Linked DNA regions of Drosophila melanogaster. The protein of the gene in region 2 interacts with the protein of the main gene of each other region in a pairwise test. Each region holds a gene or a part of one and is shown on either strand. Other genes may lie near its edges.

What was found.
Region 1: the proteins of angel (region 2) and subdued interact in a two-hybrid assay, tested with the Drosophila melanogaster proteins (one large-scale study listed by BioGRID).

What each region holds. Positions count from the first base shown.
Region 1 is NT_033777.3:19,637,529-19,646,332, reverse strand, and holds the start of subdued (subdued), read left to right. Parts: upstream 1-3,610; 5' UTR 3,611-3,917; coding exon 3,918-4,255; intron 4,256-5,104; exon of another isoform or gene 5,105-5,234; intron 5,235-5,246; exon of another isoform or gene 5,247-5,349; intron 5,350-6,919; coding exon 6,920-7,307; intron 7,308-7,363; coding exon 7,364-7,432; intron 7,433-7,582; coding exon 7,583-7,654; intron 7,655-7,905; coding exon 7,906-8,066; intron 8,067-8,138; coding exon 8,139-8,307; intron 8,308-8,361; coding exon 8,362-8,482; intron 8,483-8,541; coding exon 8,542-8,653; intron 8,654-8,714; coding exon 8,715-8,804. Other genes in the region: Nup58 (nucleoporin 58kD), read right to left, coding at 1-183, 245-1,168; Vha13 (vacuolar H[+] ATPase 13kD subunit), read left to right, coding at 2,046-2,127, 2,495-2,595, 2,655-2,825.
Region 2 is NT_033778.4:23,690,691-23,698,270, forward strand, and holds angel (angel), read left to right. Parts: upstream 1-3,312; 5' UTR 3,313-3,427; coding exon 3,428-4,492; 3' UTR 4,493-4,542; downstream 4,543-7,580. Other genes in the region: CG30183 (uncharacterized protein), read right to left, coding at 201-833, 887-1,750, 1,922-2,110, 2,169-3,041, 4,590-5,575, 5,752-6,451, 6,505-6,918, 6,977-6,985; mRpL43 (mitochondrial ribosomal protein L43), read left to right, coding at 7,534-7,580.

The DNA of each region.
Region 1 (8,804 bases), on a different chromosome or scaffold from region 2:
CTCAACTAAAGTGGCCATATTCTGCAGCGCCCATTTCAAGTTCGTGATCTCGTGGCTGACATTCGTGAATTTGGAGGTGGATGTCCGTCCAATGTCAGAGGAGATGGTCTTCTGCTGTTTGATATACGCTTTTAGGCCATCCACCGTTTTTATTATCTCGTCGGGCACTTGGGTTTCCTTAATCTGGAGTGGTCGAAAATAAAATGATTATTTTGTTTCTCTGTGAAAGACTCATGGTCAGCACCTTGATGCCATCTTGCTTATTGTCCCCCAGCTTTGGTTGCGTGGCGGTCACATCGATCCCCCCCAGACCCACGAAAGTCGATGCTGCCGGGGCAGCTGCCTGACCCGCTGGCTTGCTAAAGATTCCTCCTCCTCCTAGGGTTGTCGTCGCATTGGTGGTTCCCAGTTTCAGACCCGTGTTGAAGGGTTGTGCCGTCGCCGTCGTCGTGGTTGTGTTAAAGTTCAAGCTGGCCGCCGTGGTGGCCTGTGGCTTGGGGAAGGAAAACGATCCAATTCCGGAGCTGAGGGATGCTGGCATCGCAGCTGCCGCCGTTGTGGCGGTGGTGCCGAATCCAAAGGCCGGCGGCGCGGTGGTCGGCGCACTTGTGGCCGGGGTGGCAAAGGAGAAAGTGGGAGCCACAGTGCCCACGGCTGGTGCAGGTGCTCCGAAGGCCGATGCTTGCGTGGAAGCTGGCGCTCCAAACGCCGTTGTGGCTGCTGGTGCTCCAAAGGCGGATGTAGCGGCGGGTGCTCCAAAAGCGGGCGTGGCGGCGGGTGCTCCGAAAGCGGGAGTGGCAGCTGCAGCTCCAAAAGCGGGCGTAGCAGCTGGAGCTCCAAAAGCCGACGTTGCTGCTGGTATGCCAAAAGCGGGCGTGGCAGCAGCCGTTCCAAAAGCCGGCGCCGCAGTGGAAGTGGCGCCAAAACCAGGCGTGGACGCAGGTGCTCCAAAAGCCGGCGTAGCAGCTGGTGCCCCAAAGGCCGGTGTGGCCGCGGGAGCTGCAAACAAGGAGGTGGTGGCCGGAGCAGCACCGAAGGTTGGCGTAGAGGTGGCTGCTCCAAAGGATGGAGGCGGAGCAGTCGTCGTCGCCGGTCGCGCGCCAAAAGCAAAAGCGCCGGTAGCAGCAGTGGCGCCTCCAATGGCGTTGTTCGTGGTGGGCGTAAACATCTTTAGGCACCCCTCTTAAGGATTTATACAGGAATTTTAAACAATTAAACTATATTTACTGCAACAAATTTCGAAATTAATTTTGTTTAATGCCTGAGCATCTGTGGTTTAACTTCTAGGACAGAGATGACACTATCGGTGATATCGATAGCTAGTCAGCAGAGATTTATTCGGAAAAATATCAACAAAGTATTCAAATTGATTGAAATAAATACACTATGGCTAAAGATATATAAAGTATTTGCAGCTTCATATAGTTACGATTTGTGATTTTCAAATATTTAATTTTGGTCTGAGGTGTGGTGAGTTCGGTCCACTACAACATGGTTGTTATTTAATATCAAACGATAGCCTTCAGATATTAATATGAATAAATTATTTCAAAATTTAATCTTTATGTATTTCAATTTTAAAATAATATAAAGAATTTTTTACGAACTAATTTCTTACAATAGCTTTAAATACAGCCGGAACTATTACAGTGCGAAGCAGATTAAACGCTGCATTTAAATTAAAATGAATTAAAGTTTACAAAATTATAAAAGAAAAATATTCATGATGGGAATAAATGAGAAAGTTAATGCTTACAAAAACGTCAAATTATTTAATACTTCTGGCCAATACAATACCAAACAATAATATACAACTAAGCTAATCGATATGCAATCGACCGAGCCATCTCCAAGAGTTTCGCAGCACCCAGCTTTCCGGCACACTGCTTACCCACACCAACTAGCCACCGTGGTGAGTTTGCGTGTGTGTGACTTCGTCATATGACATTTTTCACAGTTCGTCGTCGATTGTGATTCTGTCGCACTTGCTTTTTTCGACTTGCACAGTATACACCACGGCGAGGAATTAGAGAAGTTTGGAAATTATGGCCAGCCAGACGCAGGGAATCCAGCAGTTGCTCGCTGCCGAGAAAAAGGCAGCCGAGAAGGTCGCCGAGGCTCGTAAACGTAAGTTTCATTTTCAGAAACAAAAATCCAATTGGAAATGGCAGGGCGACAAGTAACTGCGATTTTTTCACCACCCCGCCCCCGTGCTACCATAACCACCATCACCGTTGTGTGTGGGTCACATGATGTGGTGGAAAAAAGTAAATACAAGTCAATCCTCCATAACTCGAGATATAAATCAAATTAAACTAAATTAAATTAAATTAAATTAAATTAAAATTGTTTGTGGCCACTAAGACTGCAACTTAAGTGCAGTAAATAGTTTTTGTGCGAGTTGGCACTTTAAGTTATGGAAGGTCATCTTGCGGAGGGCTGATTTGCCAAGTTGAACTGATATGATCATCTGGATTTCTGGGTAATCCCGCAGGCAAGGCAAGGAGGTTGAAGCAAGCCAAGGACGAGGCTACCGAGGAGATCGAGAAGTTCCGCCAGGAGCGCGAGCGCGCCTTCAAGGAGTTCGAGGCCAAGGTAAGACGCCACATAGGGAAACTTATGTACATGTAATACCGTGTGAACCCCGATTACAGCACATGGGCAGTCGCGAGGGCGTGGCGGCCAAGATCGATGCGGATATCCGCGTTAAGCTGGCCGACATGGACCGGGCCATCCAGACCCGCAAGGACCCGTTCATCCTGGAGATCCTGCAGTACGTGTACAACATCTCGCCCGAGGTGCACAAAAACTACAACCACAAGTAAAGAGGTGGCCCCCCAAACTGTGCGCTGTAAATTCAATGTCCACGTTCAACTCTAATCCATAATTTAGACCCGTAATAATAGTGGTTAATCTAACTGGAAACACTGCTGTATTATTATTCCATACATTAAAGTGAAAATTCGTTGTTGTTCCATGTAGAAAAAAGCGAGCATATTAGTTTGCCTCCCACTCGCGCGGGATTGTATTATCATTGTTTTGTGTTCTGCCCAATACACGTTGTTGTTTTATCCGAAAAGTCATGTGTTTCAATTGTTTTCCTCACTTTCTTCCTGCTCGCATTTTTCATATCTGCACTGCAGTCAGCTGCTGCGTGATAAGATTTTTGCGGCGAGTTCATTTCATCGGTGCTCAACACTGGCGATGGCGATAGTCACGCCTCTGGGTGCTTAAAAAATTCAATTTTAAGATTAATCCGCTTAATTATATAGTGTATAGACTCGGCATAAAATAAAATGTACAATGTAAAGCAATTTTATGTTTTCTCTTTTAATGGATTGTTGTCTCAGGCAATCGTCTAACAACCAAATGGTTTCCCTAAGTAGTACGATTGACATATGCTTGGAAATTGATTACCGTTGTACTCTAACCAACACAATACGACAAAAATATAATTTGATAACATTATATTCCAGTTCCGCAGATAATTACGAACTCATTGAATCTGTCCAACTTTGAGTTGTTATCAAGCTTACCACTTTTAAGCTGCGCGCTCAGTTATCGATATATTATCGAGAACCGACTGGCACTTGCCCACCATCTGAGCACTTTGTTAGTTTGTTACAGAACATTGGTAGAAACGGTTTTTCGCTCTGTTGTCGCTCGCTAAATCAGCGAAAATTAATTCATTCATAATTATAAAATAATAAATGAGTGTAAAGTGCAATAGGAGGGTGTGATATTAGTAGTACTAGTTTAATGAACGGCAAAGATGAAAGTTGATTGCTAAATTTCTGGCCACCAACGCACACAGATGCAGATGCCTTGTGAAAGCACCGCAGAAGAGGAAGAGCGAAAAAGAAGAGAGAATGCGATTTAGCGAAACTGACTAAATTTAGGAATTTCTCAGAAACAAGATGCTAAATTTAGGCAGTGCCAAAGTTGGCGCTCTGGAGGAGGCCACCTCACCACCCCCCTTCTCCAAGGACGAGAGCTTCCAGCTGTTGGAGCGGAGCCCCCACAATCCCGCCATATCACCCACCACCACTGTCCCGCTGGAGCCCCCCTTCACCACCCCCCTAGCTCCCTTCGACATGGAGCTGATGAAGCGCCACAATCTCCACGAGCGCTTAACGGGAAAGGAGAGCTTCTGGCGCGGGCGCGACACTTCGCAGAGATTTCTGGACCAGGAGCAATTATCAGCATCGCGTGAATCACTCGGTGCCGCCGACAAGAGAGCCCGGTTTGCAGAAAGGTTAGTAAGCCCACTTTTATTCTTTATTCACTTTATTCCAAATTCAGACCATTTTGGGCCGAGGAAGTAACCATTAAAGTTAATTGCAGCCGACTGCTTTTGTTGTCAGTTTTCTGTAATTGAGTTTTTACTTGTGCGGAATACAGGGTGTCTAGCAATTTAACTGATAGTTACCAATAAATCCAGCTATATATTTAAATAATTAATTCATAGACATTTTAAGATCATAAGCTTAAAATCATAGAAACAGAAAAAAAGTACCCAATGTTTAAGCACCCTGTATATCTTATCTTTCATTAAGGTAGAGCAATAGCTGAAAAAGTACATTTGCCTAAACAACACATGAAGTGCGATTCTTTGTACATATACTCCAAATATTTGGTTTGATTGTTCACATCTGTCTTAAATCTGCTGAGCAATCATTTCAGTTGTTTAGTGACTCACGATTGTTAGGAGGTGAGTCCCAACAGACCATTTAATATTCAATTGCAACTATTATTGTTGCAATCGAGCTAATATGATTTCTCAGTCTGTACTTGGCATCGTTCCAATTTCTTATCATACACAGCGAAAAGAGACTTTCCCAGCGGGAAATTGGAAATAAACGCTCTGCTCTCGTTTAATTAGACAAAAAGATACCGATTATCTTTTATTTACGCTTAAACTCGCATATGTGTGTGTAGGTGTAATGCACTTGACATCCGAATGATCAATTGGAAAAACATGTGCTCAAAACTCTCTCGAGAGTAAAACAGCTGACTGGGGGGATGTATATAACGGTGCTGTTGGTAGCTGCGGGGGGACGGGGGCCACCGGCAAAAAAACCCAGCTGGTTTGCCTCTCATTTCTCAGTTTGTTGTCTTCGCTGCTGCGCGTTGGTTGTCGTCTCTCAGTTCGCTCCAAACAAATTCGTCGGTTGCCATGGCTAACATTTGTAGACTTTAATTCAGTGTTTATTAATTATCTGCTCGGACAAGAGGTGAAAATTTCCATCATAAGTTTTTCCGCGATAATTGCGATTAGGTTCTGTAAACTTTGTAAACCGAAACGAGCCGATCACCTTTCAAGGAAACGGGTTTTTCTGCCATTATTCCGTGTGTATTGTAGCATTAATCATCGTTTCGAAAAAGCAAAAGACAATATTTTCTTTATGTGTGTCGCGTATCTCGCATCGTTTTTTGAGCACCTCAAGTATTGCGATCTTGTGGGATGAATAAGCCTTCGATGTACATATACATATAATGCCTATTTGATCGGTGGCATTTTAGCAGGAACATCTAAATTATATAAGTGATTTTAGCAGCCAATGCAAAAATATATCAGAAAACAAACGCAACACATGTTTCATAAATTAATGTCTCTCTCACTCTCTTGGCCTTGATTAAACCAAATGCCGAAAATTTAAAACGTGTGGGCCTACAAAGCAAACAGCCATTATATGTAAATTTTAATTATGTTTTTGATGAAAGAAGCTGAAGATAATTTCGAGTTGTGCGAAGGCCAAAGAAGTGTAAAAATGCTTAATGAACCAAACGAACAATAATACAAAAAAAAACGTAGCAACAAAAGAGGGGAATAACAAGATTTATGATTAGAAGTTAATCATAAGGGGGGGGGGGGGTTAAGTTAACGTTTCCCCTATCTATAAGTTGAGTTTCAATATTACTATATACTAACATAGATAGCTTGCTTACAATATTTTAGCATTATCCATAGAATTGGCAAGCATATTTAAAGAGGAAAATACGATTGTAATGCTGCTGATAACAAAATTAACTTCATAAGTTCAAATCCAGACTGTATGCTTGATTGCTTATCAGTTGAATAAATTATTCTTTCATTACTTTTACTCATTTGCTCTGTGCACTTTTAATGAAACCCGACAGAGGAGATTGCTCGGCCCTATTGCACTTTGAAGCTTTAAGTATTCTACATCGATTAAAGGCTGTGAATCATTAGATATTTCTCATCTAGATCACATCACATGAAGCTGCTTTTTAGCAAACAAATACCAAATGTTTGTATGTAATGAGAGAAGTGTTTGTTAAAGTTTCTAGATGATTTTCAACTTAAGGCTAAATTGAACTAAAGATAAACCGAGCATATGCTGAGATTTCTTCGTTCCTACACTTAATTACTTGGATTAACGGAGCAAACGTTAACTGAGGTCATCTTGTGCGTTTCCTTCCCGTCGCAAAGAGGTATTATTTATCGTTAAATTCCCGTGGCTTTGGCTCTCCCAGGAGGTGACCTATATATGTTATTGGTGTTTTAATGGGATGTGCGTCCCATTAGGACCTTTCCGCACGACAGGCGTCGCCAGTCGGGAATTAAACGTGTTTTGCTCCCGTTTACTCGCTTCAAATTGTATCACATTAAGTTTTCCGCCTGAAAGCATTTCGAGTTAGTCGTGACTTGCGATTATTTCATATTTCTAGTTTAAGGAATGGGGGTACCTTGTGAAAACAATAATTTGATACCATTACAACTTGACACATGTTAAGAAGGTTCATAGAATAGGTTTATTTACTTTACATTATACTAAAAAGTATCTTTACTATACCTAAATATCGCTTAAGTATGTCTGCGATGTGTTTCAGCCGAAAGTTTATCTACCTAGCTAAATACGATAATTAACCTTATCTGCCACTGTCTATCGTATAGCAACGCCCCCACGCTCCAACTGCCAGAATCTGCCGAGCCCAGGGCCAATGGCAAAAGACCCACTGGGAACAGGACCAACCCATCGAATCCAGCCGCTCCCCTTCTGCCAATGACTGATCCGGATTTTGTGAAGGGCAATGTAGGCGGCGTCTACGATGATCGCGAGTGCAGCTGCCCCAGGGAGTTCTACCAGCGGGGCGAGATTAACACATCACTGTTCTTTGAGGACTGCGTCCGGTCCATTGACTTTGTCCTGGCCTACAGGATCAATGCGCACGAGCCCACGGAGCTGGAGAACACGGAAAAGCGTCGTGTTTTCGAGGCGAATCTCATTAGTCAGGGGCTGGAGGTCGAGTCCAGTCAGAAGGACCAGATCTGGTTCGTTAAGGTAAGTTTGCAGTGCTTAATCAACTTGTATAGTGTTTTCATATATATTGATTTTAGATCCACGCTCCTTTGGAGGTCCTGCGACGGTATGCGGAAATTCTTAAGCTGCGCATGCCCATGAAGGAGGTAAGTAAACATACTTTTAAATGCTAAGCTAAAGCCAAAATTATAGCATTCTTTTAGGCCTTATTCAAAAATTAAAAGTTCCCGAAAATGTAATTTATTCATTTATGATTTAATTTTAATTTAAATCATTTTATATTTTGTATGTTTTAGTCGTTATGCAATTTACGCATATCTGAAAGATCGAATCGCCTACGAAATGCGGCCCATTACTTGACCAATAAGGTTGGCCAAAGCGTTGAAGTTAAACCAGTTAAATATTTTATTATTAATCCCCTAAAAATAATCTTAGATTATCATATTTCGTTTAGCTTCCGCTGTGAGTTGTTTGAAATCGAACTAAAATACCCAGCCTAACCTTGATAGATTTTGTATAAAGAAAATGTAACTTAGAACAAGCCAGCTTGAATGTTAACACAAAATTATTAAAATTAGTTTCTAAATACCATTTACACTTGAACTTTCAATGCCTTTAGATTCCAGGAATGTCCGTGGTCAATCGATCGACCAAAAGCGTGTTTTCTAGTCTTAAACATGTTTTCCAATTCTTTCTGCGCAACATTTATGTGGACGAGGAAATTTTTCCAAAGCGAGCTCATCGATTCACTGCCATTTACAGTCGCGATAAGGAGTATCTGTGAGTTCAAAATAATTTCTATATAAAAATTATCGTGCCTATTTACTTATTAATTTTCTTATCGGCCGGTAGCTTTGACATCCGACAGGATTGTTTCTTTACCACCGCCGTCCGTTCCCGCATCGTTGAGTTCATCCTAGATCGCCAGCGATTTCCTGCCAAGAATCAACATGACATGGCCTTCGGTATTGAGCGACTGATTGCCGAGGGTGTCTACTCTGCTGCCTATCCACTCCATGATGTAATTGATTGACTCTATGCTAAATTGTTCAACTAAACTATGTATTTATCACAGGGTGAAATAACCGAGACGGGAACCATGAGAGCTCTGCTGTACAAACATTGGGCCTCTGTGCCCAAATGGTATCGCTATCAGCCCTTGGATGACATCAAGGAATACTTCGGTGTCAAAATTGGTGAGATCATATAATAGAAAATTAAATAATATTTTCTAACGTATAAATATCAATTTTAGGCTTGTACTTCGCCTGGCTGGGCTACTACACCTACATGTTGCTGCTGGCCTCAATAGTGGGTGTCATTTGTTTCCTATATTCATGGTTCTCCCTTAAAAACTATGTGCCTGTGTAAGTTTATATTTAAATAATCCTCCATATAAAATGAAATCTAATTAAATATTATCTCTAGGAAAGATATTTGCCAGAGCGGTAATACAAACATAACCATGTGTCCTCTTTGTGATTGGTGCAACTTTTGGGACCTGAAAGAGACCTGCAA
Region 2 (7,580 bases):
TACATAGGGCTATGAAACGGAAGTGGTAAATCTATACCTTTCTTGCTAATTTCAGACTTAAATTGAAAGGAGCGACACGTTTGCATGGCAAACAATATACAATTAGTGGAAAGATCTAAGCACAATTTAAATATAACCAAATATAAATAGAAAACTTTAACACATATAAAAATAAAAATTGTTTGGCAATGCACGAGCTGTCAAGAGGAGCCCAGCCAGTGCCTGGCGAATGCGATAGCCTCATTTAGGTGGATTAGCCATTCCGAGAGCTCCGCTTGCGTATCGGCAGCAAAGAAGACTCTCCCCGATTCGCAATCAGAATTCCTTCCTTGCAGCAGAAAACTTCTCGCCCGAGCACACAACTCCCGGGGGGCTGCAGCTATCAGGGATTGTCCGAGTCCAGGCAACTCCAGCGTGAAAATCGGGATATCACTTTCCAGATTATCCTCATGTTGCCAAACCGATAACCGAACGCCATCCAGACTGCACCATCTGCGATTCCAGTTGTGTTGGCTCTTCGGATCCTGAACATTTAGGTAGCCAGAGAAGCGGGTCTTGGGCAGCCGTAAGTCCACTCTGCCAGTAATAGATATGGCAGGTCCCAGATTCGTGGATTTGGTGTGCGTGGTCAGGGGAACTTGCCAGGAGCGTGAACTGCGCAGGCAGATTTTGTCGCTGGATCTCGACTCATTGGACACCAGTTGAAATGGCGACAGGTCCACAGCTCGCAGATGGAAAGAGGCATGTAAGCGAAAGCGCGACATGATTTGCTCACCACCAGAGCCCGCAGAACAGCTCGAGTTGGCGGAACCTAAGTTTCCGCTGCCACGACGCTGTAAGGTAACTCATTAGCGAACTGCCTCTGAGGACAACTGAAGCTACTTACCAGAGACTTGGCAGGCTCCAAGGCCAGAGTGGAAACTTTGCGCAGGCGGAGCATGAAGATTTGACAGCGCAGCTCCAAGGAGTCCGCATTTTCTCCACTGTAGAACTCCAAGCCACAGTCTCGAAAGAAGGCGGAGCCATTCTGGCACTCAACGGATTGAGTGGATCTAATGCGTCCTCCGCACTCAAAGGTGCAGATATAGTGGTAGTTGAAGAACATATCCCGGCTGACGTCCGCCCTCACTGGCAGTTCCATGGCGTCGATCAGCAGGCACTGGGATTTCCTCCGTGCAGCCAATGCTTCATCATTCAATTGGCAAACGGGTGGAGTCGATTTTCGCAAGGTAGAGAAGAGCAACAGTCGCTCCGCCTCCACCATCTCTGCAGAGATCTCCAATGTCGGCATCTGCCGACATATGCTCACAGCTTGGGCCAGCTGCTCGTTTGGGTTCAAGGAATCGTTTAGCAAGGAATCCACGTTGAAGTTGGCATAGTAGGTGCTGCTATCCAGCTCCCCATCCGTCTGATTCGATTGGTCCCTTGAGAGATTGAGGCTCTGAGCCAGGCGTTGCTTCTCCGCCAGAAAGAAGTCTTTTCCCTTGCGGTACGAACGACGAAGGGCATTCTTCAGTAGGCGGTAGCGAGCGAGAGCGCTGACTGACATCAGCTGGCTGTCACTGGGATTGGGCATCGTCTGCATCAGCTCACCCAAACTGCTGCTGTTGTGCAGGACAGTGGGATCCACTGCCTGCGAGGCCTGCGCCTGCTGTGGCGTTGTGGGGCAACTGATGCTCAGATTGTTACCAAAATGGCGCAGCGACGTGGCTTGGCCATCATTAATTTCTATGGTCAAATTGGAAGCGGGCTGAAAGATCAATCATTACTCAGTTTCAACAACAATCTTATATTTGAAGTGCGTTTCAGAAAGCGATGGATGAGTACAGTGTGGTAGTGGCTATTTACAGAATGTACAGTGTCAGAAATCAGATGCAAGCGGAAGCCTTAAGCTTTAGTGGGAGTCAACAAAAATCTCTACCTTGGTTGTAAAGCGCTGGCTCTGCTTCTTTTTCGGCGTACTCTGGTTGGCCGGCTCAGGTTCAATTTGCCCGGAGCCGTAATCGTTGGTCACGAAGGAGCTGCCGGCGCTGCCCGCTCCAACCAAACTGTAATCTGCGTAGAGCTGCTCGGGCATGTCATACGAAACGGAATCCATATTGGAAGTATTCTGTAATGGGCTTTGGCTTAGAAATGTGACAAATTGTAAAAACTGCAATGGCACTTACATTGGGCACCTTTTCTGGGCGATCCAACACCAGTTCACTGCGGCAGAGATTGTCCAAGAAGATCTCGCTGCGCTGCAGAGAGAGTTCTGAACGAGAAAGATTCCGGTTCTGCTTGGGCGGCGAATGCTGCTCACTGATATTGTTCAAGGATTGGTGGGCATGTGGCGAAGGCAACTTTAACTTCGGCTGGCGAATCACAGAGGACTCAGTGGTCTGACTAGCTGAGCACGAGGATTCCGTTCCACTCGGCTCCTCGGGCAGAGGCATGAACTGGAAGAAGTTGCCGTTCTTCAGGGATTCGTGGAGAAAGTGACCCAAAGCTACAGGCTGCTGAGGAGCAGTTGATTGTGGTGAAACCATCTGGGTGCTTAGCTGCGCTGGATTCGACTGGGTGCAGCTTTTAGGTTGTACCGCCTGATCAAGAACAATATGTGTTGTTATAGGCGGCGAAAAGGAATGAGTACTTTTCTGTGGCTGAATAGCTTGGAAACTAATCTGAGGCTTATCCACTGGCTTCATTTGCGGTGAGTTCTTCGGCGTCTTTTGCACCCTGGCGTACATGGCACTGATGTCATCGCGCGAGGTCGACGGAGCAGGCACAGACCCACTCACATACGCGGTGGAGCTTTCCGTAGGAGTCGGCGTGTGGTCTATAATCTGTGCCGCGGTCCTAACCTCGTGGTGGGGACTCCCTCTAATCCGCAGGCAGTCTTCCTCAATCTCCGAGTAAATGGGCTCGCTGTCGAAATCGCGCTGTTGCCGTGTGGTGGCCAACGATGTGGTTGCACCACTGCTGGGTCCGTCTGTGCAGTCGTAGCTCTCGGTTTGAAGATGGCTGATCTGAGGCTCATGGCGGTCAAAGCGGGAGCAGTCCTGCAATCGATTGAAATTATACTCTTATTATTGAAATACAAACCATATTAACGATATATTTATAAAAGAAGAGCCTTATTACTTGGATCAATAAACCAATGATTAACTAAATCTATTTGACCAGAAAGTTAGTAAGAACGAATCTTGCAATGCTACTTCGAGATACACTTTTTTAAATTTCGATAGACCGAGTACCGCCCCGTTATCGATATCAGCTGCAATGCAGCCCAGCGAAGGAAGGCGCAAAACAAGAAGTGAAAACAGCTGACAGCAGCAGATTTCTTTCCTCCACTCGGAAATTCAGACGCCATCCAAAAACACTAAAGAAACAAGAGGCTTTCAAGGGGACCAGGAGCTCGGGCTTATGGGGAGGCGCACCTGGTGAGATGTACAGGTCTCTGCTGCACAACGTTTCACTCAAGGCGACATCAAGGATTATCAGGCGCAGCGTGAGCAGCCAGGCAAAAGGAGCCAGCGGAAAGCGCAAACAAAAAGCGAAGGAGATGGAGTCGAGCCACGATCGGAATAGACGCTGGACGTCATTGGGGAATCAGGCTGAGGGTCGAGACCCGCACAAGTGCTCCTCCTTCAAGGTTGTCTCATATAACATCCTGGCCCAGGATCTGCTTCTGGAGCACCTCTTCCTGTACGTGGGAATCCCGCATGAGTTCCTCAGCTGGCAACGCCGCCAGCAGAACCTTCTCAGGGAACTGCTCAAACTGGATCCGGACATACTGTGCCTGCAGGAGATGCAGTTCGACCACCTTCCAGTGCTCGTCCAACGACTGCGTATGGGCAACGGCAAGAAGTTGGCTTATGTGTACAAAAAGAAGACCGGCTGTCGAACGGACGGATGCGCTATTGTCTACGACTCCTCAAAGTTTGAGTTGCTAGACCACCAAGCAGTGGAGCTGTACGACCAGGCGGTGGCTCTACTCAATCGCGACAATGTGGCCTTGTTTGCCAGGTTCCGATTCAAAAAGCAGCAGGAGCAGCAGAAGGAATTCGTGGTCGCCACCACGCACTTGCTGTTCAACACGAAACGGAGCGATGTCCGTTGCGCCCAGGTGGAAAGAATTTTGGAGGAGCTGCAGTCGTTCTCCACCGACACACCTATCGTCCTGACTGGTGACTTTAACAGTCTGCCCGACTCCTCGCCTATTGAATTCCTCGTTGGCAAGAATGGGGATGTGGATTCCACAGCTTGCCCAGAACCCCTGCATTTCGAGATCATCGATTCGGGCGAAGGTACTGCCTCCACATACCAGAACGAATGGGTTATCGTGGACTACATCCTGCGCTCGCTAGGATCGCGGAGCAGGCACAAGCTCTTGCCTCTCAGCGTCTACTCACTGCCCTCAATCAACCGGTGCATCGGGGCGGGACAGATCCCCAATTACCGTCTGGGGTCGGATCACTACGCCTTGGGTGCAGTATTCACCGTTGTCTAGTATTTAATCTCTTCATGCTTTCTTGGACTCATCAATAAAGGTACGAAATGAACATGCCCACTTATTATAAAGTAAAAGATTAAGGGAAGGGACTCACCTGAAAGGTTCTAACTGCGTGCTCATCGCTAGCCTCCAGCTTGGCCCTGATGCTGCTGAGCAGATAGCCCATTTTAGTGATGGTGACGTCCTGGTCGAGATCCTTGTGATACGAGCGATAGGTGGTGGGTGATGTTGCTGCTGCTTGAAAGTCCAGCTTGCGGGCTCTGTTTGCACGGGGCAGCTTCTTCGGAGGCGTCGGTGCCTTCACCTTGCGTTCGAAATCGAAGTACGGCTGCTCTGTGTCCAGCTGTTGGCGGGTGGATGTGGTCGTACCCGAGGGCGTGGTCTGCATGGGGGAGTGGTAGCTTCCCGGCGGAGACTGTGACTGCAGGTCCAGCTGCGAGGTAGATGTCTGTACGCCAATGGTGCACTGCTGGGGAGTGAATCTGTGCTGATCCAGCTGCGTGTGCACCTCCTGATTAGACTTCTTCGGCGAGACGAAGCGCAGGATCTTCTTTTTGGAGTTGTTCAGAAAGTTCTTGGACTTCTTTCCAAGGTTCTTCGGTTTGTTACCCTTCCAAGGAGATAGATTGCGCCACTGCTCGCTCCAGATGAACTTCTGGCTAGCCTGACCTCCTGCCGTGTTAACTCGACTGGGATACTTGATGGGCGTCTCCTTGTGCACCATATTTGATGCCAGGTTCTCGGAAACACTTCCGTCAACAGTGTCCAAGGAAACCTTTGGCACTACGGGCTGTGGCTGTGCTTTAGGCATTTGCCATCCAATGGCTACTTGCGGTTCCGCCGGTGTCCTAAACTCGCTGGCTGTCTTGCCCTCGTAGTTGAGCATATCGGTGATCTTGGGCTCTGTCCAGCCAAGAATAACCTCCTTGGTGGGCGCTCCTTTCCGCCTACTCTCCTGCCGAATATTCCGGTCGTAATTTGAGCCCCGCTTGGATTCCACTACGCGCTCAATGTCACTGAGCGAGGGGCAGGTGGGCAGTTGCTTGTTGCTCCTGGGATGCCTGGGCTTCTCTACCTCAGCTAAAGAAAGACGCAAAGCTCGTAAAAACATCGAAAACCAAGGAACCAATTAATGAAACCGTAAGCCAAATGTTTGGATACAAAACACTTTATTTGGTAAATACATTTGATTTTTGGTAAAAATAGTTTCTATTTGGTTACGGTTTCATTTTCTAGGGCTTACGGGTATAACTTACCCATGGGGAACGATCTGCGCTTGCTGTCTTTTTTGAGCGATGGTTCCAGCTTGCTCGTAGGCACCTGAACGCCACGTTTGCGCAGAAACTCGTCCAGCACTCGCTCGGCCTCCCGCACCGAAGGATTCGTGGAGGTGAGCGAGGATTGCGATAGCTTCCCGTCCAGACTTTGGGAGCTGCGACGCGGCGGCTTCGGAGGCGGCAGCTGCGAGTTCCGTGCCTTGAAGCTGACTTGACCCTGCGAGAGGCGCTTCTGCAGCAGGCGTCCACCTGCTCCGGAACTGCGTCGAGAGCGGGAACTCCTGCGACTTGGCGGCTCGGTGGCCAGCTCTTCTTTCTCCTGATCTTCCTCCACAGCGGATTCCTGTTCGCTGATGTTAGACAAAACAGGAGCTGAGGGCTTATAGGCTATGGGCTCATAGGAAAGCATTTTAGTAGGCTCTCTCTGTGTGCTCCTGTGCCGGCACCTGGAGCTAGAATCTGACAGTTTGTGGCGGTTCACGCGCACTTCGGACACCACACAGTTGTCGTGCAGCTCCTGGATGATGTGTATAAGCGGTTCATCCTCGCCGGCCACGGCTCTCAAGCGACTGACAGCAGTTAAGGGAGTTTTCAAGCCAGAATTTATGCTGGCCGGCTCGCTTCGACGAAGTTTCTCCGCCTGCTGCCGCTGGCTACCGAGATTGTTCTGCTTGGCGGGCTGTAAAATGTGAGTTTAATGAGGGAACTGTAGCGGGCTGGTTAGTGGCTTACCTTGGCGCTCTCAGATCGCCTGCTGCGCCTTGGTAGTCGCACGTGCTGGTCACGTGGCGGTGCCGTGGAGCCGCAGTCTCCGCTGTCGCTGGTGAAGCAGTAGCAGAAGCCGTTCTGGCACGGCTTCCCCTTGCGCTCCTGCTCCTTGTTGCAGCGATTCTGGTTGATTAGGTCCGCATCCGTGGTTCTGCGGACTCGGGGAAGTTGTCGGGACATGTTGATGTGGTTATTGTTGGTCTCGCAGTCGCGACTTTGAGTGGACACACGGCGAATGCGGCGTGCCCTAAACTCGTCGATGCACTCCTGCAAACTGAACGACGATGTGGAACCAGACTCGGCGGAATCCTCCTCCTCCTCCTCCCCCTCTTCTTCATCAACTAGAACATGTTTGGAGAACTTTGAGCCTACAAAAGTCTGGAGGCCAATATGCTGTTCATTTGCACTTGTGATTAAATAGCGATTTAATGCTTACGGTGGCCATTTTGCAGTCTATGTATTTATGGAGCTGATTAGACCAGCTGCATGTGCTCCACTTTTACACGTTGCACGCTTTCTACTCCGCTTCTACTTCGTGTTTTTCCAATCAAATGAAAAGCGACGCCTCGCCTGCATTTTTGTTTTCCGCTTTGTGCCGCTTCTTCTTTATCAGCGAAAGAGAGAGAGGAGAGAGTGCATAACAGCCCTGTCTTGCGTCAGAGATTGGGCAATTGGCTGGTATAACTCAGGCAGCACTATATTCATATGCTTGAAATTGTTATTATTTATACAATTGTTCAAATGGGCTTTACTATTTATTATTTAATTCAGCGCGGAATAGGTTCATATTTAAAAGAGGATGTGCTAGAGATTAATTATGTTCCAATGTAAGCTGGGGTTATAGGGGTTATAGCTATAAAACATAATGTTTCTAGCTAACTCGTCATCTCTGGTCAGAGAGAATCAGCTGTTTGCGGCATGCTATTACGTCGTCTCTTATTTGGAATTGTAAAAAATAGTTAAAAATTGTTTTGAATTAAAAACAAATACAGAATGTCAAACAGCCACTTGTTCTTGAAGTCCGGCTTCCCCCGTGCACC